2 linked regions of the Mus musculus genome follow. The protein of the gene in region 2 interacts with the protein of the main gene of each other region in a pairwise test. Links are inferred from orthologs where the notes say so. Each region holds a gene or a part of one and is shown on either strand. Other genes may lie near its edges.

Region 1 (17,045 bases), on a different chromosome or scaffold from region 2:
AACAGTCTGAACAAAACTTTTCTTTATCAAAATAATATTGATGCCTGAATTATAGATTACTTCTACTTTCCTTTTATTTTAAATCGATACTATGTGGCAATTTTATATAAATACAGACTATACTAATATCCCAAATTATTTTTCTTTCCCCTAAGTTATCTGATAATTAAAATCCCTCCCTTTAGGGCTCAGGGAACCCTGGGGAAGAAGAAGCAGATAGTGTGTAAGAATTGGAGGGGATGGAGGACACCAAGAAAACAAGTCCTTCTAAATCAACATGATCAGAGCTCACATGAATTCACAGGGATGGATGCAGCATACACGGGGCCTGCACAAACATGCACTAGGTTCTATGCATAGGCAGACATTATGGCTTCCAATTTAGTATTTTTATGAGATTTATGAGTTTGTGAATGAATCTCTAATTTTTGTACCTTCTCTTGGGCTTTTTTCCTTCCATTTGTTTTGTTTAATTCTGATGCATTAGTTTTTGTTTTGATTTTATTATCCCTTACATAGTAGTGTAAGCAAGCCCAATTAAGTGCTTTCTTTTATAAGAATTGCTGTGGCCATTGTGTTTCTTCACAGCAATAGAGCACTAAGACACCTTAGAAACCTGTTTATAAGGAGGTGAGAATGGGATGGAAGTGGGGGGTTGGGAGGACTACAAGAAGGGGAAACCATAATCAGGATGTGTGAGAAAAAAAATTTCAATAAAAGAAAAAATACCTGGTAGTTATAAACAGGCAGCTGATATCCAGTGATGACCTGAACTGGTGAACTTGGATAAGGAGGATATGCCTAAGAATAAAGTACACAGAAAAAAAGAATTATATATTTGAGAAAGTAAATCAATTCACAATAAAACAAAAATACGTATTTTTTCTTTTTATATATACACATATATAGTAGCAATACTTTAACTAGAAATATAGGTGCCAAATAAATGACTGGTTTTATAAAAAAGTATTTCTTGTCAAATGATAACCTATTAGGCAGGCAGGAAGAAAAGACAATGTTAATGTCTGCCTTTTTCCAAGCCAATAACTCCCTTAGGAGGTCATCGTACATTGATTATCTAGTTCTAGTAGTGGAGTTAAATTAGTGTATCTTGTTTCTTTATAAAAACACTTTTGCACAGTATTATTATTAACAGCAACATTAGCAGATAATCTCTAAAATTCCTCTGGTATTTATGATTTTCTTCTGTATTTAATTTCTAAAAGTTAAGGGGATTACAATCTGAAACTAGAAAAAAGGATAAATCAGTGTTTCCTATACTTGTATTTATTGAATAAAAGCAAGTAGGTCACATGCACACCTTGTATCAGTTAGGAATAAATAGGGATTTTCTTCTAAGTCATACTAACAGCCAGAAAAGTAAGATAAGATACTGTCTATATTCCACACATATAAATATATAAGATTTTACTAGTTTTCTTTTCTGGCAAAAGTCTCTCAAATTGAAAAAGTAAAATGTACCAATATGCATAGCAAGCATGAAAATTTAAGTGTCAACCAATTTCAGACAAATTATGATTTATATATTTTTTAAAAATACCCTATCAATTCTAGAACCGAAATAAACCCAGATGTCAACAACTTACATGAGGAAGCATTTGGAAAGCACTGCAAGTACAACATAGATTAAGTGATGGGCTTTGGGAAGGCATCAACTAAGAGAACTTACAAAACTGTTTTCTAATACTTAAAAACATTTTCAAATTTAAAAACTTTTTTACAAAAAAGAAAAATAGTCCTTCTCTATTTTTTTATGTATCTTAATGTGGCTACCAAGGTTCTAGGATAATGGCTTATAAACTACAGAGAAGTGATTTCAGCTTAGCATAAACAGCGCTAAGAATGACAGTAATAACAAAATCCTAATACTTGAAGTATTCCAATAAAGAATGGAGTGTGTTATCACTTAACATCCCAACTGTGCATAAATTTCAGAGCTTAAAAAGACTATTGAATATAAGAATAAAAATACAGGCAGCTTTTACCTGAACATACTGAGTGATAGGATTCATCATGGTTGGAGGCTGCATGTAAGTCTCAGCATTTGGACTACTCCAAACACTCTGGAACTGTGGTGGAGGAGGAGGATTAAAAATCAAAGGACGTGGCTGCACATGATAAGTACCTTTAAAAAAGTACAAAGAACAAAAGTTACATTGCGTTCTCTGAAAACCTAGGCAGATTCATCAAGAAAACTTCTGGTTTTACTCACATAAATTTTGTTTCCTGATTGCAGGGCCCAGTTTCAGCTTTTTACCATGGAAATTTATCTGTGACTAAAAATAACACACGATAATTTTAATCTTTCATTTCCAAGAGTTTGGCAAACACTATTGTGCTCAGCCTTACTTTAACCAAAGTGTCACAATGCATCAAATCCCTTTTCTAATCTGATAAAGCTAGAGGCCTCCAAGCAAGCATGTTCTGACAAGTTACATAAAATTACAGTTTGATCTTAAACAGAAAGGAAGCCTATTTTCTCTGTATTTTATGTAAGATTGAATATCCAGGACTTACTCAACACGAAAGCATTGCTAAAGAAGAGTTTTACCAAAGACTGTTACTTACTTCTACTATCTTCTGCACATCCACGTCATTATAAAATGAGACAAATCCATAGCTAGAAAAACAAATGAAATATAAAATCATAACCATAGTAAATCCTATATTAACAGAAAATGATAATGAAAGATCAATATATTGTGATAAAAATACTGAAACACAGAGAACAGATCCTCTATAATACCACTGCTGTTTTCTTAGTAATGTCAGAATGTAGTAATATTAACATTCATTAAAAAATGTTTATTACTTAAGGCAAGACAGCTACAATTTAAGATAGTGTGGAATGTGCCAAGAAATAACTATTTAATAATCCATTTGTGCAAAATAGAAAATACTGAAATACAAGTACTAGCAAAAGAACTTATTTTAAAAAAAAATTCCTTTGTCCATAAATTATTAAAGGCAACAATTTCAGTAGTTTGCATGCTCATTTTAAGTCTTGTCTGGCATCTCTCTGGCATACTTAGTTCTATAAACAGTAGCTTACATCACCTATGTTTACATACCCCTTCGACACACCAGTTCGATCAGTGATTATCTTCACTTCTTTTACTGAGCCATATCTGGCAAAGAAACTCCTGATTTCGGTTTCATCCATCTATGGAAAAGAATTAAATTTCAAGAGTAAAAATTAAGCATTCAAAACTTCCAATTGTAAAAAAGATATTTGATTATGTTAAAGTCAATCCCTAGTATTTGCAAACTATTCCATTTTGCTGAGTGTATTTTTAATTTCTATGTATTAAAACCAAACCTGCATAAAATTTGGAGCAGAAAATCCTTTTAGGTCTACACATCAGCTCCCAATGTCCATAACACTTTAAATATTTAAATTTATTGAGCTAGTTCTCAACTATGTTGCCCAAGCTCCTCTTGAAACTCCTGGGCTCAAGCACTCCTCCCACCTCTTCCCACCCCAACACCAACATGAAATTGTGGCTTCAGAATTTCATTTAAAGTTTGAATGAAATATGAATACAATACCCTAACATCAATTCCTCCAACAAAAACGGTGTTTGGCATGATTTTGCCTTCTGGCAAAACATATCCTTGACTTGTGGTTGCTGATGAAGACTGAGTGCTGGCCTCCCTGGAGACAGCTGAATTTGGAGCCTCAGAAGTTGTGGCAGACTGAAATTTGGAGAATAGACAATTTAAAATATATATATGCACACACATGTATATATAAACATGACAAATTATGTAAAACACTTCGTTTGTATTTCACCTAAATTAGCTAGCAATAGTGTAGTTTAGCTTCAGGACTTAAAGCAATTAGAGAACTGGCATAGAAATTAAAAAGGTAGTACTTTCAGAAATATCCTTCTTACTGTTACCTCTGAAACTGAAAGCAAACCCCACTATGGTTATGGTATCTTTTCACAGCAACAGAACACTAAGACAACACATTTTTAAAACATGTGTAAGTTTTTTGTCTGCTTGTATGTATGTGCACCATGTGTGTGCTAGTGCCTACAGAAGCCAGAGGGAGCTGGATCTCCTGGAACTGAAATTACAACTGTGAACTATCATAAGGGTCCTCTATAAGAGTAGCAAAAGTGCTGTTAACAACTGATTCATCTCTCTGCCCCATTCATGTCACCTTTTACACTATATTGTGAAAAAATGCCAACTTTACAGTTTATGAAAAGATTTTATTTGATGAACTTGGTGAAAAGTTCTGATCTGTGAAGACTAAAACCATTGTGGAACTACTACTAAATTTCCATTTTACTGAGTGTCTTAAATCAAAAGCATAGTAAGAACCCAAAGTAAACAACACAGCTGTTCAATACCCCAAACAAAAAAAAGTATTAAACTCTTACATTTTTCCTTGCCTTTCTATTATTAAATTAATATAAATTCTATAACCTTAACATGCCCATGTTAATGTGATTAGTCAATCACATTTAGAAGTAAATGAATTATGAGAAATTACTGACACATCAGTTTCCTATTCCCTAATACTATTGTGTTTAAAGCATGTTCTGAAATAGCTTTTTGTTTCTTGACTAACACCATACAAGCTCCACTGGCAATTCATACAGTAGATTCTTAATTGATTAACATGATTTTCCTAAAGAAGAACTTATTGGAAATAAGTGTGTGTACAGAAGAGGCAATATAACAAAGCACAAAAAAATGAACTTAAATCAAAATACCTAGATTTATGTCTGTAAGTTATAAGCAGCATGTTTGCCAGAGTGCATCTCTGGCAGATTACTTTGAGAATGACTAAAACTGGCGAACTCGTTTTATAAAGTAGTATGCTATTAAGAGTTAAGTATCCTGTATTTAAATTTATTTTCAATGGAGTTAAAAAAGTTTTTCCCTCCAAATTTTACTATCTTGGCTGACTTTATTAACTGGATGGAATTTTAGTAAACTATTATTATGTCATACCCACTGAAAAATCCACTTATGAAACTGACAATGAATACTGAACACTAAGGGAAAGCTAGTATATGTAACTTGTTTACATGTATGTATACATTGTCAAGAAGCTAAAAATGTCAATTTGTTTTTAAAAGATTAACTTCATACAAATTTTAGAAATGAAAAACTGTCCAATACTTTACTTTTTTGACCTTTTTTGCTTTTATCTGCTTAAGTCCTTATTTGCTATTTTATATTCCTACTTGAGAACTACCTTATTTCTTTAAACAGTAAATCCCCTTTGTGATATTTCATGACAATGAAATGGCAGGCAGCAAAATTATTAAATTTTTCCTTCTTTTACTATGTTACGATTTAAGTTTAATCCTAAATGCAATACTACATATGCTATGCATCTTGGACTATTTAGAACCTGACTAGATTTGATTTACTAATAGAAAATCTACCCATCTCTACTCAATTTCTTATTCAAAAATAAACTCAAAACATAAAACAATAGTTCTGTAATTTTTTTAGGACTCCATTTCTCAATTTACTCTTCTTGTATTGATGACCTTAGGATATATTTTTATTCGATAATCCTTTTTACTGATGTCTGTACCACAATACATGGATGCATTTCAACTTAGAAGTGTAATATTTTACCAGTTAACCAGAATATAAGTTATAATGCACTGACTCTCAGTACTGCAGGGGTACTTATGTCTAGGAACATTTCTGGATGTCAACAGTGAGGTAAATTTCTGGCATCTGGTAGGAAGCCAGGGATATTTCCATAACAAATGATTCCCAAACAATGTGTTACTAGGACCATAACCTGTATAGGGATGTGATGAAAAATCCTGTTATGGTACTTCTAGAACTGAAGAGGAAAATAACTGTTGGGAAGAATTTGCTTTCCATTGTTCAAGATCTTGATTTCCTGCCTTAAAAATTAAGGAAAAAAAAAATCTCAAATGTCTTCTAATTGTATTCTTTATAAAAAAGTAAAATGGACGTTTGAGAAAAGTTTAATAAGGAGGAAAATAAAGCATTAAATATTATAGGATGCTTGATTTGGGCTTAAACTACCTGCTTCATCAGAGTAAATATTAAATCGGTCTCAAAATAATAGTGTATTATGTATTAAAGAAGGCACACCATATCCTAGTCCTTATCCAGTAGGTGGCACTCAAAACCAAGAAAGCAAAGAATCCATTTTAATAAGACCTAATTCCTACTGTATGCTTAATAAGTAAAACACCCACAACTGATAGATGCTTTAGTTACTTTTTAAATATGACCAAAACCACTCTACAACCAAATACTTGTAAGTCAGGTTGATGTTTAAGAAAGTATAATTTTATACTTAAGAGATAGGATCTTATTATGTAACTCTGGCTGTCCTGAAAACTTGCTATGTAGACCAGGCTGGCTTCAAACTCATGCCTCTACTTCTTGAGTACAATTATTTATTTTAAATGACGTCTTATGTTGCCAGAGTTGACCTGAACTTCTAAAGGGCTCCATATGGCCCCCTGCTGTCCCCAATAATTGTAAATTTCCACACACCTAAATGCCCACTACTGACCCTGGTGGGAAAGTATCTTACTCATCAATGGACTATAATAGCATACTGAAAACAAACTGTATTAAATTTAAGACATATTTAATTATACCTCTGAATTAGCTATGAGAAATATTAGAATACCAGCAATGAGCCAGCACACAAAAATTTGCCTATTTTGTACAGTACCATACTTCATTGTATTGGAAAATCCACATATCAAATATAGCTAGAAGCTGAGAATAGTTATTAAAGATTTCAGGATTCACATTTTTGAAATGTAATTAAATCACTATGCTAAGCAAATTCCCATGTATGCTACAAATACTGGCCAATAGATAAAAATCTGCAGTTATCAAATGTTTAACCCTAATGTAGTGAGAAAACGGTCCAATATTGTGCGATTTAAATTATTGTGATAGACAAGTACCTATTTCACATTATAAATGCTTAATTTGAATTCCAACTTAAGTTAACATCGGTCATAAGTAGTATAAATTTCTTCCTTTACCTCTAAAATGGAAAAAAATTTTAAACGAACATGCAACATCTAACGGATTTGTGATTAAATGGCTATCAACGTTTGTTTTCAGTAGCCCAAGCTAGCCTGGCAACGCCTCAGTCAGTCTGCTGGCGGCGGCAGCGGCGATTACAGCAGAGCTGTCCGGTCCCGCTTTCCCCGACCCCCGCCCGGCTCAGGCCTCTGGCTCCTCCCCCAGCCCACGCAAGCCAAGCTCCCGCAAAGCCGCCTCCACCCCACCCACAGTCACCAGGCGACAGGGCCCGCCCTCAGCCTCCCGATAACCACGCCCTCCGGGTCCTTTCCACGCCGCGGCCAAGCCGCCAGGCCGCAGGACCCGGCGCGGCCAGCCTAGGCGCCACCTGGCGGAGGCGCCCGCGCTGCGGCGCTCCGACCCGGAAGCCCGGGCGCTCGTGCGGAGGAGCTGGGCCGCGGGGTGGGGGCTGGGCCGCGGCAGGCCTCGCCTAAGGCCTGCTCCTACGGGCACCGCGGCCCAAAGGCGGGAAAGAGCCGTCACGTGACGCCCAGGCCGTGCACGTGGCCCACCCCGGGGCTGCCCGAGGTCCCCAGGGCTGCCCGCCATCTCCCCGCAACCCCTCAGTGCTGGTGTAGGCCGCAAAGGCAGCAAGGCCGCCACTCTTGTCCTCCAGGCCTCACCCTGGGGGCTGTCCGGTGGGGGAGGAACCCAGAACCGGAAATATGAAAGGACCCTCTTTATGCCCTCTCCCCACTTCTCTGTGCTACACCAGAAAAGGCCGATTTTTAAACCTCCGCGTAAGGAATCGCGGCCTCCGGCTGGTCTTGCACTGCCACCCCGGGGCCTGCCCTCGACTCACCATGATGGCGGCCAGAGTTCGGGTGGTAAAACCTCGAAGGTGGAGCAGAAGCCACGCGACGGGGCAGCTACGTGAGGTGGCTGCCTAGCCGGCCAACGGGCAAAAAAAAGCCGAGGCGGTGGTGGAAAGAGAGCCCACGGCCACGGAGACAGCGGAGTCCCGAAGCGAGCGTGCTGAGGGTCGCCGAGTCACTGAGGCGTGGGCTGCGCGCCCCGGGGGGATGACTGTGCGTGGCTGGCCTCGTGACGTGCTACAGCCAATAGGCGGCAGCGCTAGGGCCTCGCAAGGGGGGCCAGGGGACCCACGTCGCCCACGGAGTGCGTGAGGGGTGCGCATGGAGCATGCGCGACATCTACGTAAGGGTCTCGGCTGCCGAGCAGGCCCGAGCCTCACTGACAGACAGATGGACCGACTCCTGCCACTCCCTAGCCCCCCCAGGACCGTGTCCGAAGCCCCTGTGAAATAAGTCCTGGGCAGGACGGTGCTCAGAGTTCTGTCAGGAAAGCATTTATTCAAGTCATTACCTCAAAAATGGCACCTCGAAGGCATGGCGTTATCCCGTCAGCAAAGCTTGGCGGCCGAATTTAAAATTTACAAAATGCCCGCAGAAATAGAAATTAATAACGGGCGGCACGACTAGAGAGCAGGCCTTGCCTGGCCGGGCCCCTTCACCCTCTTTTTCAGCCACATTGAGAAGGTTGAGTCCGGGTGCATGTGGAAGGCGCACCTCATGCCTCACGGGCCGGCCCGTCAGCCATCAGGACTTAGTTTTTTTCTTCCGTTTTTTTTCTCCCCCCCCCCCGCCCCTTCAAATAAATGCCCGAATTATCCGGTACAAAGGACACAGCAGTGACCAGACCACACGAGAGAATATCCCTCCCTTCGTGGAATTTAGGTTGCAGTGTGAGCGTTTCTCTTGTAGGCTTTACAGAAACAAGCTAGGCCAGCTGAGAGAATTCTAGAACATTCTCAAGGCCAGAGAAACGGGGCCTACCTACCTACAGCAGAGCCGAGCTGTAGGGTGCTTGGTGGAGATAACCTTACGGCAGAACCACCTAGTACTTATACCGTCCTGACTACCTTTTGTACAGATGATAAGTATTACAGCTTTTTTTTTTTTTAAAGCTGGCAAAACAGCTTAAGATTGCCACTAACCATGCAGCAATGATGGAGAAAATAGTATTAAAATAATAAATAAAAATAAAACAAATAAGGGTAGATTGCACCTATTTGAAAGGGGGGAAATTCCAAAATTCTGAAACTAAAATTAAGCTCGAAACTACAGCGGTGAAGATCCGATTCTCCACTGGCCTTCGGTAGGTGGCTACATGGTGGTGTGAACAGTCTAACAAAGGGCCTGGACTGTCCTCATTTTAGTGTAGAGAAGAAAAAAACCCACTACAGACAGCTGGAATGGTTGGTTAATGAGCAGCGGAGAGATGGCTCTAAACTCTGTAGCTCCAGGCCTTCCTGCGTTGGCTGGATGGGGAAAGCTGAAGCGGTGCAGCCCGATTTGGAGCTGAGCACCTTGCAGCACACCGGTGTTCTGGCAAGGCATCATCCTGAGGAAAAGCACGGACGTGAGGGGACGGGGAGCACCGTGCAGACTAGAGCAAACCCAAAACCATCTAACTCTCATTGGTGTTTGACCTTCCATTCCTGCGCTCTCCAAGTTTGGCGTTTATAGTTATGACATGTTTGTTACTGGAATCTCGAAAGGAAGAGCCAGGTTTTCCCAGTTCACTATCCCCTTCCCTGCAAAAGATTCTTAGGCAAGGCGTTTAAACGCTTGAAAAACGAAACAAAGGCCAATCTGCAGAGACAATAGGGGTCCTCTCAGAAAAGGACTTTTCAAAGAAAATCCTCCTGGAAGTGGGGTCTAGAGACAGCAGTCTCCTAATCCCAGCTGCTTAGGAGGAGAGGCTGAGGCAAAGGAAACTAAAAGTTCAAGGCTGCCCTGACAGTTTAATGACACTGTCTCAACATAAAAAGAAGAGAGGACTGTGCAGAGGGTGCCACACAGGGCAGAGCGCCTGCCTAGCATGTGTGGGAAGGATGTCCTGGCTTTAATTCCCCGCACACTCTCTCTGTCTCTGTCTCTCTGTCTCTTTGTCTCTCTGTCTCTCTGTCTATCTGTCTCTCTCTCTCTCTCTAACACACACACACACACATTCCAAAAGATTATAAAGCATTTACGGTGAATAGGAATGGCCTGTTTGGATTGTATGAACATTTTATTTTTCTGACTCTTGTCTTTGGTCTTTCAAGACAGGCTTGCTCTGTGTAGTCCTGGAATTCTCTCTGTAGACCAGGCTGGCCTCGAACTTACAGAGACCCACTTGCCTCTGCCTGAGGGCCCAGCACTCTCCGCTCTTTTACTGCTTTAATCGGGGCTGGAGAGATGGCTCAGCAGTTAAGAGCACTGACTGCTCTTCCGAAGGTTCTGAGTTCAAATCCCAGCAACCACATGGTGGCTTACAACCATCCTTAATGACATCTGACTCCCTCTCCTGGTGTGTCTGAAGACAGCTACAGTGTACTTACATATAAAATAAATAATAAATAAAGTCTTAAAAAAAACCATACACTTTAAATAGAAAGCTAATAAATATGTTCCCTCTTAAATAATTCAAAGGCCTCAGGATGATTTTATTAGTAAACTCCCCTCCCAGTTTAAACTGGCTGGTTTTCAGGTTCCTTCTGTTAGCCTCCTGTAAGTCAGCCGTTGTGGCCACACAGAGAAACATTGTGATCCCCATTTTACCTCCTGCTCTCCTGGCTCCCTCCCAGTTTAGTTCTCTTATTCCATTTCCCCTTTATCTCTCCATCACAATACACCATATTCCCCCTTTCCTGCACGATCACATTCTCCACCATGGACTTACTAAGTACTTAACCTGTGTGGTTATCTGGATTGTAGGAAACTTATCAAAAAATTCGTAAAGCATATAAAAGCTAATATCTATATATAAGAGAAAATATGTGATTTTTTTTTTGAAGTCTGGGTTGCCTCACACGGGATAAGTTTTATAGTTCCTTCGATTTACCTGCAAACTTCGTTTTTCTTAATAGGCGAATTAATAGTGCTTCATAGACGTTTGTGTTTCCTCTTTTGAGAATACTCTGATTAATTCTAGATCTCATTTTTTAGTTGAGTTTTGTTTCTTCGTGTTTAGGTAGTTCCGTTCTTTATACATTCTAGATATTAACCTATGTTGTAGGCTGCTGATTTGCCTAAAGGATGCTGCCCTTTGCTGTAAGCAGGTTCTCACCTTAATGAAGTCTCATTAATTTTTGGTCTTCATGACTGTGGTATCAGTGTTCTATTCAGAAAGTTCCTTTCCTGTGCCAAAGAATCAAGCTTATTTTCCCCACTGAAAAAGTTTTACTCACTGTGCACGAGGGCTTTTTAGCAGTGAGATGGTCATATAGATAGAGCTCCCTCTTCTTAGTCCCCTTTTAAAAGTGTATATAAGCGGGGCTTGGTGGTGCACACCTTTAATCCCAGCACTGGAGGCAGAGGCAGGTGGATTTCTGAGTTCAAGGCCAGCCTGGTCTACACAGTGAGTTCCAGGACAGCCAGGACCACACAGAGAAACCCTGTCTCGAAAAACCAAAAAATAAAAGTATATATAAATTAAAATTTTAAAACACATGTTAATTGTCCCAAATAAACATTCAGGATCCATCTCTCTTTGTTTAACTTACATGTCTACATATTTTAATTATATTATTGTGTGTGTGTGTGTGTGTGTGTGTGTGTGTATGTACACACATGCTCAAGTGCTCCCACTTAACCATTATTTTGTTTCTTAAAATTTTGAGCACTTATAAGTCTACTTGGTGCTAAGTATATGGTATGCAAACTATAATCACATGTAGTCAGACAGACTATACAATAAGATACATTTAAAAATTTTGAATGTTGTTATTTGTTGAGATTATGTTTTCTATAATTTTCATAGTGAAAAGGAAATATAACAGGGTTCTCTAGAGATATATTGCTAGATCTAGATTGTACTGGCTGGTTTTGTGTGTCAACTTGACATAGGCTGGAGTTATCACAGAGAAAGGAGCTTCAGTTGGGGAAATGCCTCCACGAGATCCAGCTGTAAGGCATTTTCTCATTAGTGATCAAGTGGGGAGGTTCCCTTGTGGGTGGGACCATCTCTGGGCTGGTAGTCTTGGTTCTATAAGAGAGCAGGCTGAGTAAGCCAGGGGAAGCAAGCCAGTAAGTAACATCCCTCCATGGCCTCTGCATCAGCTCCTGCTTCCTGACCTGCTTGAGTTCCAGTCCTGACTTCCTTTGGTGATGAACAGAAGTGTGGAAGTGTAAGCTGAATAAACCCTTTCCTCCCCAACTTGCTTCTCGGTTGTAATGTTTTGTGCAGGAATGGAAACCCTGACAAAGCCATAGATCATGCAGAAACAAAATCAGATACATGGGAGGGGCACTCAGGCATATTGAAGACAGGGGAGGGGCTCTATCTTGGAGTAAAATGAGCCTGGAGAAACTAGGTAGAAATAGCAGGTGTTCATACCTGGTAGAGCCTGCTGTAGTAGACCCTCACTGTGGCAGCTTGTCTTGCAATTTGGCAGTTTAACCTGTGAGTCACAAACCATTAGCCAGGCAGTGAGTAGTGGTGCACAGCTTTAATCCCAGCACTGGGGAGGCAGAGGCAGGCAGTTCGAGGCCAGTCTGGTCTACAGAGTGAGTTCCAGGACACCCAGGGCTACACAGAGAAACCCTGTCTCGGGGAAAGACAAACAAACAAACAAACAAAAAACCCACAAACCATTAAAATGAGAAAACCCACCTTGGTTATTGTCTGATGTTACTTCCTTAGTCTAATCTAAAAGAGATGCCGTCATACCCTGTGGGATCAGTGAGATTGGAAGTTTTATGGATGTCTCCATTTTTGCTATATTCAGGACATAAGTCCCTGTGGGGTTCACATATCTCACAGATTAAATGTGGACTATTATACCCTTTCCTTTAAAAAGGGATACTTTCTTTGGGTTAGCGTGGACATGGGAGACTGTACCTACGGCCTTGACAGGAAGGCCCAAGATAGCAAAACAAGAAATGGAGGAAGGAACTCCATGGTCTTAGATCAAGGAAAAGAAGGAGTTCATATGCTGCTGTTAGCGTTGCCAGACTCCCAGTGTGAGATCTCTCCCAGGGCTGCAGGAGAAATAAGAGAAAGGGGAAAGGAAATGAGGTGCTTTTAAAAACTCAAAGGTTTGTCCCCAGGTTGAGAGGACCTTTCAGAATTTCAGTAAGCAATGTTACCAGCACAGCTGGAGGAGCCAATGGTGCTGCTCCCTGACACAGAGTCAGGGGCTAGCTTTTACCTTTGTGTCCTTTTTATGGTATTGGTTTTCCTAAAGACATCCCTGTATGATGAGATAAGTAACAATAGCTTAAGCTGGATCTAGCTCACTGATTAACTATCTTTCAGGGCACAGCACCTTTACCTCTTGGGGTGTTTCATTCTCTTTCTTGTCACAGTCAGGAGGCCAGCCTGTCCCAAGACCAGTTACTGTGACACAGGCATGCTTGGGTCTGAAATGGGAGGGCCAAACCGCATCTCCCGGATGGCCGCTCAGTGAACTCCAACAGCACAGGGCCGTTTGCCAAAGTCACTTAGTACTTAGGAGTCCTCTGCTCCTGATGCCGTTGCTTTTACCTTAGCAGCTCCTGTTCGGTGCCATAGCAGATGGCATTTTATTGTGCCACACCTGGAATGATTAAAGAACATCAGTAACCATATGAACCAGAACCGATTTTTTTTTTTTTTTTTTTGTTCTGGGCAGGATTAAGCCAGGGAGGGAGGTCTCAGACCTCAGTTGCCCATTATGTGTCAAAGAGAGGTAAGAGTCATCAGTGTGTCTACGGGGAATGGTTAGGCAGAGTGTGGGGACAGTTGAATAGGGTGCAGGCTCACTAGCAGACTAATAGCACAGAGAGCTTAGGAGTGGGGTTGGAAGTTTGAGCTGTTATGCAGAGGTGAAGGAACAAAGCGAAGGTCAGGAGTGGAGATGAAAGGAGATGTGAGGTGGGAATCTCAGCACTTGCTAGTTCGTCTGATGAAGTCCTTTAAGCCAGTGAGGATTTAGAAACGGAAAATATTCAGTTCAGGTCAGGTATGGCTGTTGCCTAAGTGATACTGGGGCCAGATCTGAACCGAGAGCTACATAAGAATTAGGGGGTGCTGAAACTGGATAGACCTAAAAATTTGAAGTTTGATTTCAGGTACACCAAAGGGTGTTCTTGGGCATAGACAATTTAGAACCCATCTCAGAAGGTCAATGAAAAAGGAAGAGTACAGTCATTTTCCAAGTTGTCACCTGGGTTCAGGCAGCAACTGGAGGAACAAGCATGAATTGCAGAAGATGGTGTCCCTGGCCTGTGGACATCAGGTTCAAATAGCCAAGGAAGCCCTGGAGTTCTGGAGAAGGCCTTGGTCTGGGGGCCCTCCTGACACTGGCCAAGGCTTACCTTACCAATATGTAGTAGTAGGTATGCTCTAGTAAACAAACAGCCAAGAGCCTTTGTTCTGGATAGATGGAGAGACTGGAGAACAGATTATACAAAGAACCCAAGCCCCATGTATGTGGCATGTCAATAACACCCCAGAATGGGGCTTGCACCACTTATGTAGTCAAAGGCCCCCAAGGCCCGGAGGTTTCAAGTTGCAACAGGCACCTGTTCAGTTTAAAGTAAGCCGAGTAAACCACATGCTCAGTGGGCGGGTATCAGGAAAGGTAGGGAGATGGAGAAGGAGAGAGGGAAATGGCCACTAGGGGAGTGAGACACAGGAGCCCTAAACCCCTCTTGGGTTTTCAATACCAAATGTTAGGTGGAGACAGAAGGAGGCAACATGAAAGTACAACGAAGGGCCCACCTCAACGGAAGCAGGTCGTCATTCATCAGAACAGGAAATGGTCTCTCCATGGGAGTGGGGAGACTTAGAGGGTTTTATAGGGCAGAAAGGGAACTTTGGCCATGGGAGATTCCGTCTGTATGTCCGTTCCTCTGCATCTTGAACTTGTAAATGCCAGTGCAGATTGAAATGTTGACCTTCTTATCAGGAGCTTCCAGGATCATAACTGCGCTCAGATGCTATCAGCTTCTCAACTTTCCTGTCTGGGGCTTCCCATCTCCTCTGAGGCATTTACATCATTAACCCTTCCGTAACCCTGGAGATAAAGGGGCCAGTATTTCACCACTGTGGAAATGTTGCTGGTGCAGCCATGGCTGTGGTTTCTGGGCTTTACAGTTAGATAGGACTACCACATGCTTGGCTTGCTCGGTGCCTTCTGACAATGAGAGCCGCTTGTCAGAGATGAGCTCAAACGCTCCAGGTCCTGTGTCCAAAGCGCATCATGTCTTCAGCAGCAGGGCCTTATCTTCAAATCTGGGAGCAACCAAGGCAATCCCAATGGCCTGTATTGTCTTAGAGGTGTCTTGGCTTCCCCTGACTGGAAACTTGAGAGAACGTTTCTCAGGCTTAGCACTGAAGTTTTTGTTAGATGCTCCATGGCTCTTAGGGGGAGCATTATTATCCCAAGGTTGGTAATATTTTCTTGAATCTTACAAAAAACCTTATTTAAACCATGGAAAACAATTGTTAAGGTAAAAAATTGGCAGTGAGCATTTCAATGTGGCAAGGTTAGTAGCATAATTCATATAAGCTCAGAAGCAAATGTCTATATTGCTTCCTTCTCTGGCAGGGACTATTAACAGAAGAAATAAGGCTGACACTTTAATTTTATAATTTTTATTAGATGTGTAAATGTTGGAAATATTTTAATATTAAATTATTAATTTAATTGAAATTAATTTTATTTAATTGATTAATAAATTAAAAATAATTTTAGTCATCAGTAGCTTCTGGTTGGCTTTTGAATAGTATAATGTAGCCATATACTTAAATGTACAAGTAACATTGGCTTCTGCCCAGTCAGACCTCCACAGCCTATTGCTCCTAGATCATAGAAATAGACATCTCAATATCTATAATGAGCTAAATAAATCCTTGGTTCATGCTGCTTAAAAAATAATTAGTATTAAACCCAATGCCTTCTAGACACCACTGTCCCACAAAGCAAACCCAAAGTGTTGCCGCAGTACTCCTGGTCCTTTAAGATCTGTGGGCCATCAGGGGATCTGCTCTGGGTGCTGCTCTCCTGAAGTCATCGGGCAGAGTCCATACACTTCTCCCCACTGTAAACCAGGCATCCAGTATTGCTGCTTTGGGCAGTGTTTCTGTGCAGGTCATGGGAGTAGGTGTGTACAAAGACAACAGAACAGTTTACAAACACCATGCTTGGTATTTGCATCAAGGGTCAGGCTGCCAGGTGTAGTAGCTGGTGCAGCAGGCCAGGCACAGTGCCCCCAGCATGGGCCACTGAGTGCAATCAGTTACCCGGTCAACTAATGTACTGTCTCGTCTGTGATGCAGGTGGACTCATTTGCAAGGTACTTGTCTTGGGCTTGCAGCTCCTGCTCTGGCTCACCTTCTGGCTGGGCCTGGGTGTTCTCTCCATTGTAGATGTTGTGTGCTATATACCAGTCTGTGGACAGCAGCCAGAGCCCAGGTGTTTCCTTCCTCATGTGCTATCTCAGAGACTCTTATATTTGTGTGTGTGTGTGCATGTGTGTGTGTGTTTGTGTGTGTGTGCGCGCGCGCGTGTGCGCAAGCACATGTGTGCACGTGTACAAGAGATGGCATGCATGTGGAGATCAGAGGACAACTTGCATGAATCAGTTCTCTCCTCCCATGAGGGTTTGAACTCAGGTACTCTTAAAGGCTCTGCCAGTTCTGTGTTCTAAAAGCCTAGAACTTTGAACAGAAAATTTACCCTGGTGTAGGCACTCAGGAACTTCATGCATCTGTAGCCATAGTTTTTGCTATGGCTATCCCGAATCTCTACATACATTTTATATATTGTTAATTGGCTTCTTGTCTTAATCAGTATGGTTAAATCGGATGCCATATTAGTTATACTTTCAAGTGAGGCACGCCAATCACTTTTGAAAGTTATATTTCTAGACAAATCTTTCAAGGCAACTCAGCTTGCTTCAGACTGACATCCATATTTGGACAATCCGAGTAGGAAACTAAATGTTGAGTGCATAAACTACTCTGCAGGT
Region 2 (16,428 bases):
CCTGGAGCTCAGGTTGAGAAGGTTCGCCTTTCACAGTGACAAGAGCTTGACAACTGACTTCCTTCAAGGGGGGGGGAGGGGACGACACTGGGTCAAAATCTCCTCTGACTATTTCTCAGAGTGTGTCTCCCTGCCAGATGTTTCACCTTCTAATTCAGCCTCAGATTATTGGCCACCAGCTTTTAGGAACTAAGGAGAGGTAACTAGCCATATGGCAGATAACGAATAGTCTAAACATTAAATAAGCTACAAACTACTGGGAACAAGCCTAGCTATTTAGGCACTTTTTAATAAATAATAAGCCTCTGAGTCATTATTCAGGAACTGAGATATGGGTGGAAAAGCCCAAAGTTACAAATGGCACCCATCATTGTTGTATTCCAAACTTAGCTAAAAATCCCAACTTAGAACAAAAGATCCAGGTATGCCCCTGGTGGAAAGGCAGGGAACAATCACCTCTTAGAGCAGTTCCCAGCCAGGCAGAAGATATTCTTTTTAAGAGAGACTCAACCAGAGCCTTAGTACATTTCCCAGGTGACAGAGGGACTGAGCAACCTGGGCCCGTGAGAAATCAGTGTGTGAAGCCTGCAATGGCCTGGAGCCAGAAGAGGCACAGGCCACCTTTTCAGAGTGGGTAGAAGTCATATGTGGGCCCTCAGGAAAATCCTGCTGGTCCCTCCAGGGGAGAGAAGGACCAACAGGAGGGGCAGAGCCAGCAGCCTGTGCAATGTGGCAGAGAGTAGCTAAATGTCAGAGACATGGCAGATGCCAGCTACAGACACTGCAGACAACGGGAAAAGCTAAAACAAACAAACAAACAAACAACAGACTTGGTAAGATATTTGGGAAGTCCTTAAGGAGAAAGTTAGAGATTAAAAAGAAAAATATTTTGTGTTAAAAAAAATGAAAAACATGACACAATGCATCTGAGTCCCATATGACTTTGTTTCACATATCAATGTACAAATAATTATTTTTTCAGAAACAACAACAATTTTAGATGTCCCTTTAAAAAGATATCAGAATAAAGCAGACTTAGAAAGGGAAAGGACTAAGGAATGGATAATGAGATTAAAGGATTCTTTAGATCAGAATCAGGAATCCTCAGTGCATTCTTATGTTGTCTACAACAACAGCATAAGGGGAGTTCCAGATGAGAAAAATCCACAAAGGCTTGAGGAAAATATACTGAGTTAAAAATACAGATTCTGTTTAATGAAGTCACCTTAGAACAATGTCATACAATACTTTGTTTCATTTTGTAGAATTTGAAAATGTAAAATATTTACATGTATTAATACATCATATAGTTGATGCCAAATTCAGAATTCCAAGGGGCTTCTGCCTTGAGTTTTAAAAAGAAATAATTCTAAGATTGCACATTTATTAGAGATGGTGGCTATACCTTTACAGACTGAAGCTGATGATGCTTTGACATATGTATCCAATAAAATAGAACAGTTTTTTAAAATATTATAGGGTAAAACATATACATCTTACAAATATACCTTACAAATGTACAGGTTAAACAACTGTAAAAAGATCTAACTATGCTTTAAAGGAAATACAGGACAGAAAGGGGATATGGGATCTCTCAGAGATAGATTAAATACTTTATCCACTTTATTTTTTAAAGATCAATTAAGACATAACATAGCTGCTGAAATACACTGAAAGAACTGTTAGATCAGCCTATGTATGTGAAAACCTCAGAATGAAAAGAAAGGAATGTGTTGCATTGAGGAAGAGGTTTTGCCTGTTTCAATAGGGAAAAAAAAAGCTGTGGATTCCATCAAAAGTAGTGAAAATTAGATTTAACCAGAGCAGACATACTGAAGATCTTGGCAACAGAAACAAAGGAAGAAACCAAGAAGAAAAATAAAACAGATAAAGTATATACACTGATCCCTTTATGTGGGAACAGGTTTGAAACTGGCTAAAATTTGGATATCTCAAGCCAGGACTACAGCTATGCCCAGCCTGTAAATCTTGTTGGTTACAGAGTTCTCAAGATTTATCATGCCATCCTCTGTATGGCAAGGGTAAAAATTTATATTATAAATTGGATATATAGTACAAACAGACTTATAAAATTTGATGCCTTTTCCCTAATCTGAACACAAAGAATAATCTTTAGTTGAATTGTACACACTGCACATTCCATACATGTTAATGCAAAAATGTATATTAATGTTGAAAGATTCTACGTTTGCAGAACAAAAGAACCAGACATCAAAGAAGACAAGGCAAAACTAATCCAGGCTAATATGTAAGGCTGGATAGGCCAAATGATAGTAACAAAAGAGAGATTGGATTCTTAAAGTATCTGTTGAGGATCGATGTAGCTATGAGGGTAAGTAAAGGGGGGACTAAGTATTGCTATTTTCTGATGCAAATTTTTGTAAAAGGCGTAGTGTTTACAATGAAGCAGAGATAAAAATAAAAATACAAAATTTACTATGCCCGTATTTCCCAATTTATTAACATGAAATTCTATAGGTTCTTTTCTTTCTAAAAACATGTATAGATGTTTGGCTTGCATATAAGTCTATATGCCACACACATGTCTGCCACCATGGTACTAATAATGGCAGGAAAGGGAGTTGGATGTCCTAGAACTAAAATGACATAATAGTGAGGTATGTATGGGTGCTGGGAGTCAAACTGGGAACACTCCATAGGAGCAATCTGCTCTCTTACTCACTGACCCATCTTTCCAACTTCTCCTGGCTTTTTGTGATATGTAAATTTCCCTGACATTAGGTAACTGTGTGTGATGATAAATTTTAGTTATCAACTTGACAATCTAGAATCAGCTGGGAGAATGTCATCTTAAAATGTGAGAGGTTGTCTTACTATAATAATTGAAGTGGAAAGATGCTGTGGTTCACACCAGGAACAGTTTAAAAAAAACAAACAAACAAACAAAACCAACAACAAAAACCCTTGATAACTGTGTTAAGAATTTTGCTATATTGTCATTCCCAAAACTGGACTTCTCAAAAAAAAAAAAAAATTGATTTCAAAGATTAGTATCTGGATCTGAGGGGTTTGTGTTTAAGACAGGGTTTCTTTGCATAGCCCCAACTGTCCTAAACTCCCGTAAGACCAGGCTGGCCTGAAATTCACCACCTTCACGCCCCAAGTGCTGGGATCAAAGACATGGACCATCACTACCCAGATGGATTCTGAGTTTGCAATAATATATTAATAAATAGTCAAAGCTTCAAAGATTCTGAGTTGGTCACTCTTCACCTAACATTTTAAATCTCTTGAGCTTCCCCTTCCCACCCTCAAAATCACCCCCCACCCCACCCCCAACTACAGTTATATCAAACTACTTATATACCTGGCATGCCTGCAGCAAGACTCTGACCAAAAGCCAAAGTTGGGTTTGCAGCTGCTGCAAGTGACTCTGCTTGCTGCCCTTGTTGGCCCTGACTTGGAGTAATAGGACGCTGACCTGCTCCAGGACGAAGAACCTAGAAAGGACAAATAACTCAGTTAAAAGGAATATAGCAACAAATTCATCTTAGACAACTATATACATATCACAGTAGAATTTGGATATTTTTTGGAAAGTAAAATATAAATTTAACATGAAAAGTTATAAATAATTTCCACCATAAAAACAAAGAAACAACACTCCTGGTTCTTGACAACTACAATACTCTATAAAGTAACACTGAGAGTGTAGCTCTTTGAGTAACTTATTTCTAATATTTATACTCTCCTTTTAAAAGATCCAACTAAAGGTGAAATGGCTAAAGAGCTAAATTACTTAATTTAAAAATGTTATTTATTAAAATTTATTTAAATTATTTTCTAAGGCTGAACACTGAAACATGAGACGTTTAAGGGAATTCACCTTTATGAGACTGTGATGTGAAGCCAAAAACCAAACCAACAAACAAAAAACTCACCAAAAACCAAAACACACAAAAAAATTTTGGAACTCAAGGAAAATTTAGCTTTAGAACTTGTTAAAACATAAAACTTATGTGTGAAAAATAACAAACTTCAAAGTAAGGTAGAAAGCTCTTAAAATAATAAAACACAAGCGCAGGGCGTGGTGGTGGTGGCGGCGGCGGTGCACGCCTTTAATCCCAGCACTTGGGAGGCAGAGGCAGGCGGATTTCTGAGTTTGAGGCCAGCCTGGTCTACAAAGTGAGTTCCAGGACAGCCAGGGCTACACAGAGAAACCCTGACTCCAAAAAAACAAAAAACAAAAACAAAACAAAACAAAAACAAAAATGATGAAATTAATAATACATTTTACAAGTATTCAAGCAATTCCTGGTAGAGCAAACTCTTTCCTGGTAGGGCACACACAAAAGATAAAAGATACGGGTTAAATAAATTATTAAATGATGTTATGATATGATATACAAAGGCTGAGCTAAACAATACCTTCCACAGAACATCAATATGGCATTAAAAGTATTATAGAGGGGCTGGTGAGCTGGCTCAGTGGTAAAGAGCACCAACTGCTCTTCCAAAGGTCCTGAGTTCAAATCCCAGCAACCACATGGTGGCTCACAACCATCCGTAATGAGGTCTGATATTCTCTTCTGGAGTGTCTGAAGACAGCTACAGTGTACTTACATATAATACATTTATAAAAACAAAAGTATTATAGAAAATTCCTAACAAAAACTACCTAACAAGCAAGCAACAAGGTATTTAATTTGCTTTATAGAAATACCATGAACACAGCAGCCAGAATTCTCACTTAGCAACATTGTGTTTACATTTATCAAGATAATTTTAATTCAGGCCCTTTCAAAAATTGTCTCTGAAGGCACAGACTGGAGGATCACTGGGAGTGGCTTTATAGTAAAGCTCTGTGGAAAAAACCTCTACCTAATTAATATTTTATTTGAGAAATTAAAAGCACCCTTTAATGAAAATGTCTCATCTTTTAGTGATTAACAGCACACTTGTATAACTACTTAGACATCTGTAGACAAATGAAGGAGCAAGCTCTTTGATATAGACATCAAGAATGTTTATTTTGATGTTTCTTGAAACAAGGCCTAATTACTCAAGATGGGCTCGCCTCAGTTTCCCCATAGTGATGGGGATTACACTTAACACCACATCAGGTGTATTAGCAACTTTTAAGAATCAATTAAAAAAAAAAAAAGAAGGATCGATAAAAATAAGCTTTTGGGGATGGTGAGAAAGTTCAACGGTTAAGAGCGCTGGCTGCTTTTCCAGAAGTCCTGAGTTCAATTCCCAGCACTCACATGATGGCTTGAAGCCATCTATAAAGGGGTCTAATGCCCCCTTATGGTATACAGGTGTACATGCAGACAGAATACTCATACGATTAAAAAAAGAACATAAATAAAAAATAAGCCTTAAAATTACTTGACTTTTGAAGAAAGTAAAATAATGAAAACAGGACACACCAAAGCATTGTTTTAGGGTTTTGGTTTTTTCCCAGACAGGGTTTGCTTGTGTAGCCCTGGCGGGTCTGGAATTAGCTCTATAGAACAGGCTGGCCTCAAACAGATAAATGCTAGGATTAAATAAAGGTGTGTGCCACTATTGCCAGACCACACCAAACCTTTAAATGCTGATCAGAAAATTAAAAGTCAGTAAGTAGTTGCATATCAACTATATATTAAGTACTATCATGCTATGTACTGAGGAATGGACTGTATAATATAATTAAATAATAAAGACTCCTTTATTATTTCACAAAGAAAGGCCTACCTGCTGCTGTCCAGGCTGAGCTTGTGATGCTGCTTGCTGGTTGGCTGTGTTGCTTGCCGCAGCTGCAGCTTGTTGCTGAAATAAATTGGCTGGATACACTCCCCATGGAACACCGTAATACTGAGGTGGAACCACTGCTGGACCTAAACCCCATATGGCCCATCAAAAGAAAAAAAGTCACTAAATTTTATATACAAGATCAGTTACCATTAAACTATAAAAGGAGACAAATCTAAGGCTTAGAGCTGAGCATATCTATTATAATGTTTCTCCTCACACTTGCTATTACACCACACTTTTTCTAATTCTTTTAAGACATGTCAGGTATGGGTTTGTTTTTGTTAAATTTGAGACATCGTCTCAGTTTGTAAACAACTAGTCTCAAACTCATAATGTCTTGCTGCAGATTCCCAATTACTTGCACCATTACAATACCCAGCTTACTGCTGCTATCAAAGACAGAACAAGAGTGCTCATGACAGCAGTGGCCTTACTGAATAGATTCAAGTAAAACACAAGGCTACCAATAAACTGACAGGACACTTACACACTCACATGTATTGACTGCCCATGTGGGTCTACTATAGACACAAATAACAAGGTAATACATTAGAAACCATAAAACTGTAACACTTAAAATAACTCATTAATTCAGTAAGAATAATTTTTTGATGTTAAATTTTTTAAACTATTACTTTGTAAGAAAACTAGGGAACCAGCTCACAGTGTATGAACTTTAAGCCTTTAAAGACATTTTTCCTATTGGAAACAGCACATCAACATCCTTACATGCAACTGAGTTATATGAAAACAGATGTGAGACATCAGTGGTCAGGGGAATGAACAAGTTGTCTAGTCGAGAATTAGATGATTCAAAAAGGGTGATAAAGAAAGCAAACTAAGGGGAAATAAAATCAACTGGTTTTGCTCTATTTTATTTTGCTTAAGATATTTGATTATATAGATTAATGAGTCCACCAAAAAAGTAGTTGAGTAAATGTCCTGATTTTTGACAGATACAACAAAATGTCAAATCAAATTAGGGCAATTAATTTGTTTAAAAACCCAACGTCACAGAGTTTAGGAGAAAAACAGAGCCCAGTATAAATATCAAATTGCTAAAATTAAAAGCACTTATAAACTTAAAGGCAAATATATTTCTAAAGATAATGATTTAAACACAACCTATAATAAAGATTGTCAGAACATAAAAAATTGCAAAACAAACAAATCAATAGAAAATTAAAGTGTGTAAAAACAAAACAAAACAAAACAAAACAAAAAAAACCCTCAAACTACCAAAAGCCTTTGTCTATTCAACACAGCCAGAAACTAGTGTGGAAGCTGAGCAAGAGGCCTAATCCGGAATAGTTCTGCACAAGTATACTAGGATTCTGAAGATTTAGCATGAAGAGCAATGCAAAATATAGATTTTAAAAATATTGATTAGGTGTTACAGTACTTTAGACATACTGGATCAAGTCAAATAAAATATACTACTGAATTACTTTATATTATGGCTAACTAAAAAAACTAATAAACTGTATTTTCTGGCTTATACTGCATTTCTGCTGAACAGTCACGGTGCTAACAAAAGGCTTAAGTTAACTAACTGTATGTACTAAATAACCTCTTGAAGATACTTCTTTCAGTCCTGTGGATAAATGTATATACACACACATATATAGGAGCATGCACAAACACACACACACATAAACAGACGACTACTAACATCAGCATATTAATATCTAGCTAAACAGCACCAGCAAACTATACATACTCATGGAATTATGTAGCACAACTTCTACATCAAAAGCTACTGACAGGTTTCTTTCAGTTTAATAGTTTAGACAGAAAAAAAAAAAAAAGAAGAAGAAGAATTAGCTTTCTTCTCTCACTTTAAAAGTATGTCTTACGTTTGGAAGCTGTCATTCTCCAAAAAGAGATGGACTATCCAACAGTCATAAATACTAACTGGTGACAATTATCTCTTAAAAGTCAGAAGTAGTAGTGACATTTTCAAAGTTATGCCACCAGAGGCATGCAAGTGAACCTAGGAATGACAGTAACACATTCTTGCCTCTACAAGCAATACAAACCATGCTTAAGGACTGAATTTATTTCTGCATCTGTAGCCAATTCAACCTAAATCAAATACCCCTAATGACTTTACACAAGACCATCAAAATAGTCTGTCAGTAAGACTGCACCTGACTAGCACGCAAGTTTCCCTTAACTTAAATAAGCAATTAATACACATTTGGCTTGAAGAGCACCTGTCAATAAAATTCCTTCCATACTGTTTGCACCCAGCTTGCTTGTAATACTTAAGAAATGTTTTAGATATACATTCTCTCCAAGAATTTCATCGACCTCCAAATTATTTCTGAAAAAATAATGTCGCTTTGTTTTGATTATTAGGATCAGTTATTTAAAATGAAGGTGTAGGTTCCACACTGTAGGATTTCTAAACTACAAACTAGAAATATAAACCAACTACACAAGAGTTATTGTTGCTGCCCTGTAAGTGTAATTGAAAAATGAACTCTCTTCAAATTTCAGTTTATTATGGAAAATATATTAGTTTCTCAGAAGAACTTCAAATTACTCATAGATTACCCCTCCCCCCAAAAAAAACCTTATATCAAGATTAAAACCAAGTTCATAACAAGCAACAAAGAATAAACAAGTTACCTGCTAATGTTGCTGCTGCAGCCAATCCTGCTGCAGTATACGGGTCAGTCCCTGGAGGAGCAGCACTAATAATATATGGATTTGGCACAAATGCAGCTGGAGCAAGGCCTGCTGAGAATACACCAGCTATATTTAAAAGGGTGAGAAATAATAAACGAAAATGTAAAGCATTTCTTCACAACCATTGTAATTCTGAATCTGGGGTGGGACCCCATACAATAAAGGTTTAAATTTTTACTGAATAACCCCATTTAGAACATCAGCTGTTTTATTAAACTTTTGGTCATCCTAAGTAGTTTGGATTTTGTCCTCAAAACAACAGAGAAACAAGAAAGAGTTTAAAGAGAGTTACTTTTAAAGCTTCTATGATTTCTGAGCTTAATATAAGCCCACACAGATTAGGTAAAAGCCAAAAACTATTGAAAATTCTGTCTTTGCAGTATTCTTTTTGTTGTTGTTGTTGTTTTGTTTTTTGAGACAGGGTTTCTCTGTCCTGGAACTCACTCTGTAGAGCAGGCTAGCCTCAAACTCAGAAACTCCCCTGCCTCTGCCTCTCAAGTGCTGGGATTAGAGGCGTGCACCACTACAGCCTGGCTGGTAGCCACAAGCCTGGCTCTTTGCAGTATTCTTATCAAAAGAGAAGAAATTTTTAGGCACTGACAATTACCATTCCTGAAAATGCACTGCTGCAAATGTGTCTTCTGGAAGGTAACCAAGACAAATTGAAAAGGGAAAGAAATAATGAAAATGAATATATTTAAAATTAAAGGAGTTAGAGACCCAGCTTTAGATGATGATGATAAAGATGAGTTTATTTTTTCCTTGCCTTTTTGAGACAGGATTTCTAAGATATAGGCTGAAACCCACACAATTTCATTCCCAGACACAAGCAACATAGCCATTTTTCAAAACCAGTTTTTTGGGGGTAAAAAATTAATTAAGATGTGGATTCAAGACTACGCTTATACTTAGCATCATTTGCTCAGGACTGTATTCTAAACCCCACTCCAGGTCAACAGTGTCAAGATTTCTCCCTAGTTGGGGCTGAGGACGGCTCAAGTGATGAATAGCACAACTGGCCTTGTAGAGAGCCTGAAACTCACCTTTACTATGCTGTGACCCTTTAATACAGCTCCTCACGTTGTGGTGACCCCTAACCACAAAATTATTTTCATTGCTACTTCAGAACTATAATTTTGCTATTGTTATGATTCGTACGGTAAATACCTGATGTATAGGATATTTGGTATGCAGCCAGATAGAAAGTGTTGTTCTTTAAAAAATACAATGTATATTCATATTCCCTTTACTGCTCCAAACTTCTCCTCTGTTATGTCCTGGTCACTACAGACTATCTCAATGTTCTAGAGGATTTCTCAATTTTCTCTTAGGTAATAGCCATACAGTAATGCAGTCTGAAGAATTGCCTTTTTAATGATTTTCACATTATGTTGCATTTTCAAGTCCTCTACATACTCTCTGGTATCTTAAACTTATCCCCACCTCCACAAAAAAAGTTTCACTATGCAGCCTTGCTGACCTGAAATTCTCTAGACTCTGGTCATTTATCCCTAGCTTTTTATAGGCCTTTAACACTACTGATTTTCAGATTTCCTGTACTACAGACATTTTCTAAACAAGCCACCTTTCGTTCTGACTTGACTTACACACTCTTGGTGTACAATGTCTATTTTTAAGAATATGTTGCATCTAATACTTATTACTAACCTTTTTATATGAGCCAAGTTTATATTGCTACCTATTTTTGTAAAAACAAATAAAAAAGCAAAAAGTTATTCCATTATTTTTAGATGTCTTGAAAAAATAATTAAAATGCAAAGCAAAATTTAACGCAGATGGGCAGTTGTGATGCATGGTGAGGCAAAGAGAGGCAGAGATCTCTAAGTTTGAGGCCAGCCTGGTCTACAGAGCTGGCTCTAGGACAGCTAAGACTACAAAAACAAACAGTCTTGAAAACAAACCAAGCAAAAATGCTAACTATTGTAGAATGGGGGTGGGGGTGCATGCCTGCCTCTGTGTGTGTCTGTATATGTGTGAGAGTTCATTTATTAGTTGATGCTTGTATCAACTTGTAAAATAGCTTTTACAGAAAATAATTATCTTTATTATGTATCATTTACGACAATGTTCATGCTACTACAGAGGAGTTACTGGCTAAGATCACATGGACAGAAAAGCTTAAATTATTTGCTGTGTTTACCCTTCTACAGAAAATGTTTGGCCAACCCCCTTTGGAAGACTCTTTACACCAATACTGAACAAGATGGTAGTTACTAGCCACATAAATTCCAGTAAACATGTGACAAGCTTAACAAGATCAGATGAACACTTATCTCATTTCAGAATAAGGATGTAAAAGTTCTCATTAGTAAGGTTCTTACCAATATTCTGAAATGATACAATGGGTTAAAACAAATAATTTGGATCACTTTTACTTAGTTCATGTTTTAAGCATGGTTACTAATTTAAAGTTGTTCATAATATATACTCTATTTCTATCATGCTGTTCTAAGTATGCTGTAAGCTAGCCAAGGATGACTGCAAAACTTGATTAAAAAGTACCAACGGTGAAAAAAATAAATATTTACAAATGCGAAATTAAGATTAAAATGGAGTCAGTTGATAGCTTATATTTTATGCTATCATAAAATATAAATATTTTGAATTTATTCAGGTTTCTAAAATTTGCAAATTGTCAAGATTGTTTAAGTCCTGTAAGATACAAGTACCAACTAATAAATGAACTCTCTCACACACACAGACACACAGAGGCAGGAACCCCGCCCAATTCTAGATCAGGCTATATAGATTAGCTCACCAGTGAAGTATGTTTGCTGCTCTTACCAAGTTCTCTTCCTAGCACCTCATCAGCTCCTAAGTGTGCTTCTCCAACTACAGGGAATCTGATACTCTTTTATGGTTTCCAAGAACACCCACAAGCACATCATCACACTAACTGAATACATATAAATAAAAATACACTTTAAAAGGAAAGCAATTGAGGGAATCAACTCAGGGTTTCTTGTGTACTATACAAGCACTTTAACAATTGAACTACAACCCACAACAAATTTTAAGCACTTATCAACACTAGATTTGAACTATTCTATGCATTCATTAATAAGGATAATTTATGCCATGTTAATTTTTCCAAAGTATATTTTTAAAACCCAAAATCTGATCTTCTAGAAGTAGGTGATTTTGAAGTTCATACCTCCCACCACAAAAACAAAAACAACTCCAAAAACTTTCAAAATTGCAAAGACTAACAGCTGTGAAATATTAAAACATACCATAAAGGTCCAAGTAATAAAACCTGTGTATTTCATGAGCAATTTCATGAGCAGGTGCAATTCATACATTTTAACAGTACAAAGGTTAAATTAATAAATACACGGATAAAGGATGCCCAGGAAGAAAGGAAGGAAGGAGGCCAGGTAGATGCTGCAATTATAATGGGTGTACTGGCTAGTTTTGTGTCAACTTGACACAGCTGGAGTTATCACAGAGAAAGGAGCTTCAGTTGAGGAAATGCCTCCATGAGATCCAACTGTAAGGCATTTTCTCAATTAGTGATCAAGGGGGAAAGGCCCCTTGTGGGTGGAACCATCTCTGGGCTGGCAGTCTTGGGTTCTATAAGAAAGCAGGCTGAGCAAGCCAGGGGAGGCAAGACAGTAAAGAACATCCCTCCATGGCCTCTGCATCAGCTCCTGCTTCCTGATCTGCTTGAGTTTCAGTCCTGACTTCCTTGGTGATAAACAGCAGTATGGAATTGTAAGCTGAATAAACCCTTTCCTCCCCAACTTGTTTGTGCAGGAATAGAAACCCTGACTAAGACAATGGGTATATGTATATTTTCATTTATCTTTGTAAAAGCCCCAAGTAAAATTCCTAGGAAGCCTTAACAGCACTAATACAGAACAATAGACATTTGAGGGAAAACAAACAAATTAGTCCTTAAAGAGCACTTGAGGGCTGGAAACAGTTCAGCGAGAGAGATCCAGAGACCCCAAAGTTCAATTCCCAGCCCCCCAGTCCCCGCACCAAGAAAAAAAAAAAAAAAAAAAAAAAAAAGAAAGAAAGGAAAAGATAACAAAGAAATCCTACCACAAAACACTTGCAACTAAAAAATAAATTACGTTTATCCAAAATCAGGTAGTTAGATATATAGTGATAAATGATACAAAACTATATATGCTCTGTATTAATAACATCTTGCTAGTTTTCATATACTACAATTATATAAGGAGAATTAGAAGAAACTAGACAGAAGGGTATGAGGAACTCCCTGTACTTAATTTTATAATCTATTATTACCTTTTAAAAAGCCCCCAAATATATTACATTTAAACTTATTTCACTCCACATCTACTATTAAGAGTCAGAATCAGAGGGCTGAGAAGAAAAACAAAACAGTTATTAGCATATTATTATCATCTATATTATTAAACAGTAAAGATGTGCAAGTGGTAGGAAAAACAAGAAAGACAAAAATAACTAAATATAGACAACAAAACATGTACCAAACTTGAATTTTATCAGTAATAATTATATGGCTGAGTTAATTCACATTAGTTAGAACTAGATATCAAAAAAGTTAATTTTACAGAAAATTTTTTAGTATTCTTGTTTTAGATTAAATCTAAAAATGAGCGTTCTGACTGGAAAATAGATTATATAAATAATAACATTTTATTTCTAGATCTTTGATTACCAATTATCAACTGAGAAAAAAAATCTTAAAAACTAACAACATTTATCAAGTATAAATTTTCAAATGTATGTGTGAGTGTGTTTTCACGCCACAGAGCACATGTGGAGGTCAGATGATAACCTGTGGAGCTGGCACTCTCCTTCCCCATAGATCCTGGATTTTAAGATCAAATTTGGGTCATCAGGCTTTGTGACAAACGCACTGGAGCATCTTGCTGGCCCAAATTACAGACAGATTTAACCAATGATGCAAATAATCAAAATGATTCCCTCCATTAATCATAATCTTTAGTGTGTAATCTGTTACTACTAACCTCAGAGGTGTTTCAGAAAGTAACAAAATGTAAACAAGACATTAAGAAATAAAAGGAAAGTTTAAATACATTAATACCAGCTTTTTCTTCTAATAATGAAAAGGTGTAACTTAATTGAAAAGACTTACCTATATGTGGCTGCTGAGCTGCTGCTAATGCATACTGCTGCTGCTGAGCTGCAGTTAACTGCTGAACTGTTAGTGCACTAGTCCTCTGAAAGAGCTATCCAGGAAAATATTTAATACAAAGATTAATACCAAAACATCGCAATTCTCATTAAAAAGCTATGAATATTTTAAACACTTATTTGAAGAACTTTCTTAACCATAATGACATTTTAATCAATAAAGCATTAAGTGTCAAAACCCTTATCATTCCTAGTGAGTCATACCACTTCAGATTTCACTAATAATAGTGTTACAGAAGTCTCTTTACCTGCTGTTGGGAATTGTAGTCAAAAAGGCCTACAGTAGCTCCTGAAGAATCCATGGGTACCTGATTACCAGGATAGTCAAACTGTAAGGAATCCAGACCAACTTGGTCCATTGCATCCAGATTCTGAGTTTCAGGGTTTGAAAATTCTTCAACAAGTGGTTTATTCGCTGTCGGATTAGGAAGAGGGCCCAATCCTTCTGGGGGATTAGTACTAGGGCCAAGGCGCTCAACTACTTCAGTTGGAGAGGCTTGGCGACTTCCAGGAGTGCGACTAAGTAAAGAAAACAGAAGAGCACTATGAGTAAACGGAGCAAATCCAAGGGTAAATAAAATAGTTAAGTATGAAGGGGAAAAAAGTCCCAAAATATGAAGAATAAGTAAGGCTTTCTGAGTCATCAAATGTTCCATTTCTCATATCTTTTCCTATTTCGTAACTACTTAAGGTAACAGTTTCAGTATTTTTAATTTTATCACTCTCCTCAATTTGAATAGCATAATCATATAACTCAATCATACAGATAAGACAAAGACACAGGTAAGAAAATTTGTCAAAATTTACAACTATACTACTTGAAACTTTTGTCTAAAGCCATAGACAAAAATTAAGAATAAAAAACAACTATTAAATAACAAATATGGCAAAAAAAAAAAAACCCCAAATATGGCAAAGCTCAAAATTCCACTTATCAAAAAACTAACCAGACATGATGGTTAAGTTTCCGTGAGTGAAAGAAATCTAAACTAAAACAAAAGCTGACTCACAACTGTGACTTTCAAAGGTTTTTTTCTGTGCAAACCCTTTTATCTTTTGCACTTGCTTCCTTAATGAGAATAAATGTAAGACTGGGTAGTTTTAGCTAAAAGAACAGAAGAGCAAGCAAGAAAGGGAGTAGCAGCCAAACAGCGAGCCTTTATGAAAGCCCTATACAATAAACAGCTACCCAAAGATCATCTCTACTGTTCCAAGTTGTTTCTCTTTAAAGGTAAATGTAGTAAATTTTGAAAACTTAAAAAGTATACAGAACACACACAATTTTATATAAACAAAATACCAACCCCGCTGCACCACACTACCCTAATTTTCACAAGAAATTCACTAATACTGAATTAAAATTTCAGCATTGGTTTCTCTTCTCATCAACATTGTTCATGTTTCTGACATACTACTACTACTACTACTACTACTACTACTACTACTGATGATGATGATGATGATGCAGTATTCTGCCTGCATGTATACCTGCAGGCCAGAAAAGGGGTCCAGATCTCATTATAGATGGTTGGTTGTGAGCCACCATGTGGTTGCTGGGAATTGAACTCAACCTCTGGAAGAGCAGCCAGTACTCTTAACTAGTGAGCCCCTCTAATATTCTTTTTACACTGTTTTTAATCCTAACATAGTCTATCTTTTCTTATATATGTTTTATATAGGAATCTTACTTTAAGTGTATTGCTCTGAGAAACTATGCATTCATAACACATTCAAAGTATATAAGTACCTAAGTTTAGTAGTAATGAGTGTTTTACTTGTGTCGAACACCAGCTGTTCATCAAACTTAACAGCCTCTAATTTAAGATGTTCCACACTGGCATAAGTTTGCTATCATACAGCAGTTTACAAAGTAATTCTTTTTTTGTTTGTTTATTTGTTTGTTTGTTTTTGTTTTTTCGAGACAGGGTTTCTCTGTATAGCCCTGGCTGTCCTGGAACTCACTTTGTAGACCAGGCTGGCCTGGAATGCAGAAATCTGCCTGCCTCTGCCTCCTGAGTGCTGGGATTAAAGGCGTGAGCCACCACGACAAAGTAATTCTTAATTAAAACCACTAAGTACTTAAAACATTCATGCTACTTCCAAGTCAATCACTGTTTTTGCATATTGGATTTCAAATGTGTTTTTCCTTTAGCCATAGCATACCTGCCTTTTGTGGTTTTTTTCACTTGAAACATTTAAGAAAAAACAAACAAACCAAAACAGAGCTTCTTAGCCAACTTAAAAAAAGGTGGAATAGTCCTACACTTCATTCCAGTAATGTATATATTCCTGACATGTGTTACTAACAAATTTTAATGATAAACTTGAAAGAGATCATATGGTCACAGCAATTTTTCTTAAGCATTTTTACATGACAAGTACTAACTGATACTGTATTTAACTAGTAATTTCAAACACATATTTAAAATCTAGTGGAACAAAACCCACAAATTAGATATTCATAGTCATGTTTAAAAGGGAGCAATAAACTTTCACATAAAACAACTCAATACAGCAAAAGCAGAGAACAAAAGAACATACTGTGTTTTCAGTGGTGCTATTTTCTTGCTATAGTTAATGGTGTGTTAACACTTCAATTATAAATATATAAAAATCAACCAAGTTTGAAATGCCTGACTTTCACTAAAACTTAGTAGCAGAAAAGAAAAATCAGGAAAGGATTCTAAATAAAGAACAATATATTGTTTTCCTTGTCAAAAGAGGTTTACTGATTTGGATGCTTTTTTGCACTAGGAACAGATGAAAATGGTTCTTTAA

The links.
Region 1: the proteins of Pum2 (region 2) and Dazl interact in a two-hybrid assay, tested with the Homo sapiens proteins (2 studies listed by BioGRID and IntAct). The link is inferred for Mus musculus from reciprocal best matches to the Homo sapiens genes PUM2 and DAZL.

The regions. Positions count from the first base shown.
Region 1 is NC_000083.6:50,285,522-50,302,566, forward strand, and holds the start of Dazl (deleted in azoospermia-like), read right to left. Parts: upstream 8,100-17,045; 5' UTR 7,889-8,099; coding exon 7,886-7,888; intron 7,648-7,885; exon of another isoform or gene 7,633-7,647; coding exon of another isoform or gene 7,300-7,632; intron 3,718-7,299; coding exon 3,571-3,717; intron 3,185-3,570; coding exon 3,093-3,184; intron 2,642-3,092; coding exon 2,590-2,641; intron 2,298-2,589; coding exon 2,234-2,297; intron 2,147-2,233; coding exon 2,007-2,146; intron 802-2,006; coding exon 730-801; intron 1-729. UniProt on the Homo sapiens protein: RNA-binding protein, which is essential for gametogenesis in both males and females. Plays a central role during spermatogenesis.
Region 2 is NC_000078.6:8,711,101-8,727,528, reverse strand, and holds part of Pum2 (pumilio homolog 2), read right to left. Parts: intron 14,170-16,428; coding exon 13,899-14,169; intron 13,686-13,898; coding exon 13,592-13,685; intron 8,542-13,591; coding exon 8,416-8,541; intron 5,865-8,415; coding exon 5,722-5,864; intron 3,483-5,721; coding exon 3,350-3,482; intron 1-3,349. UniProt on the Homo sapiens protein: Sequence-specific RNA-binding protein that acts as a post-transcriptional repressor by binding the 3'-UTR of mRNA targets.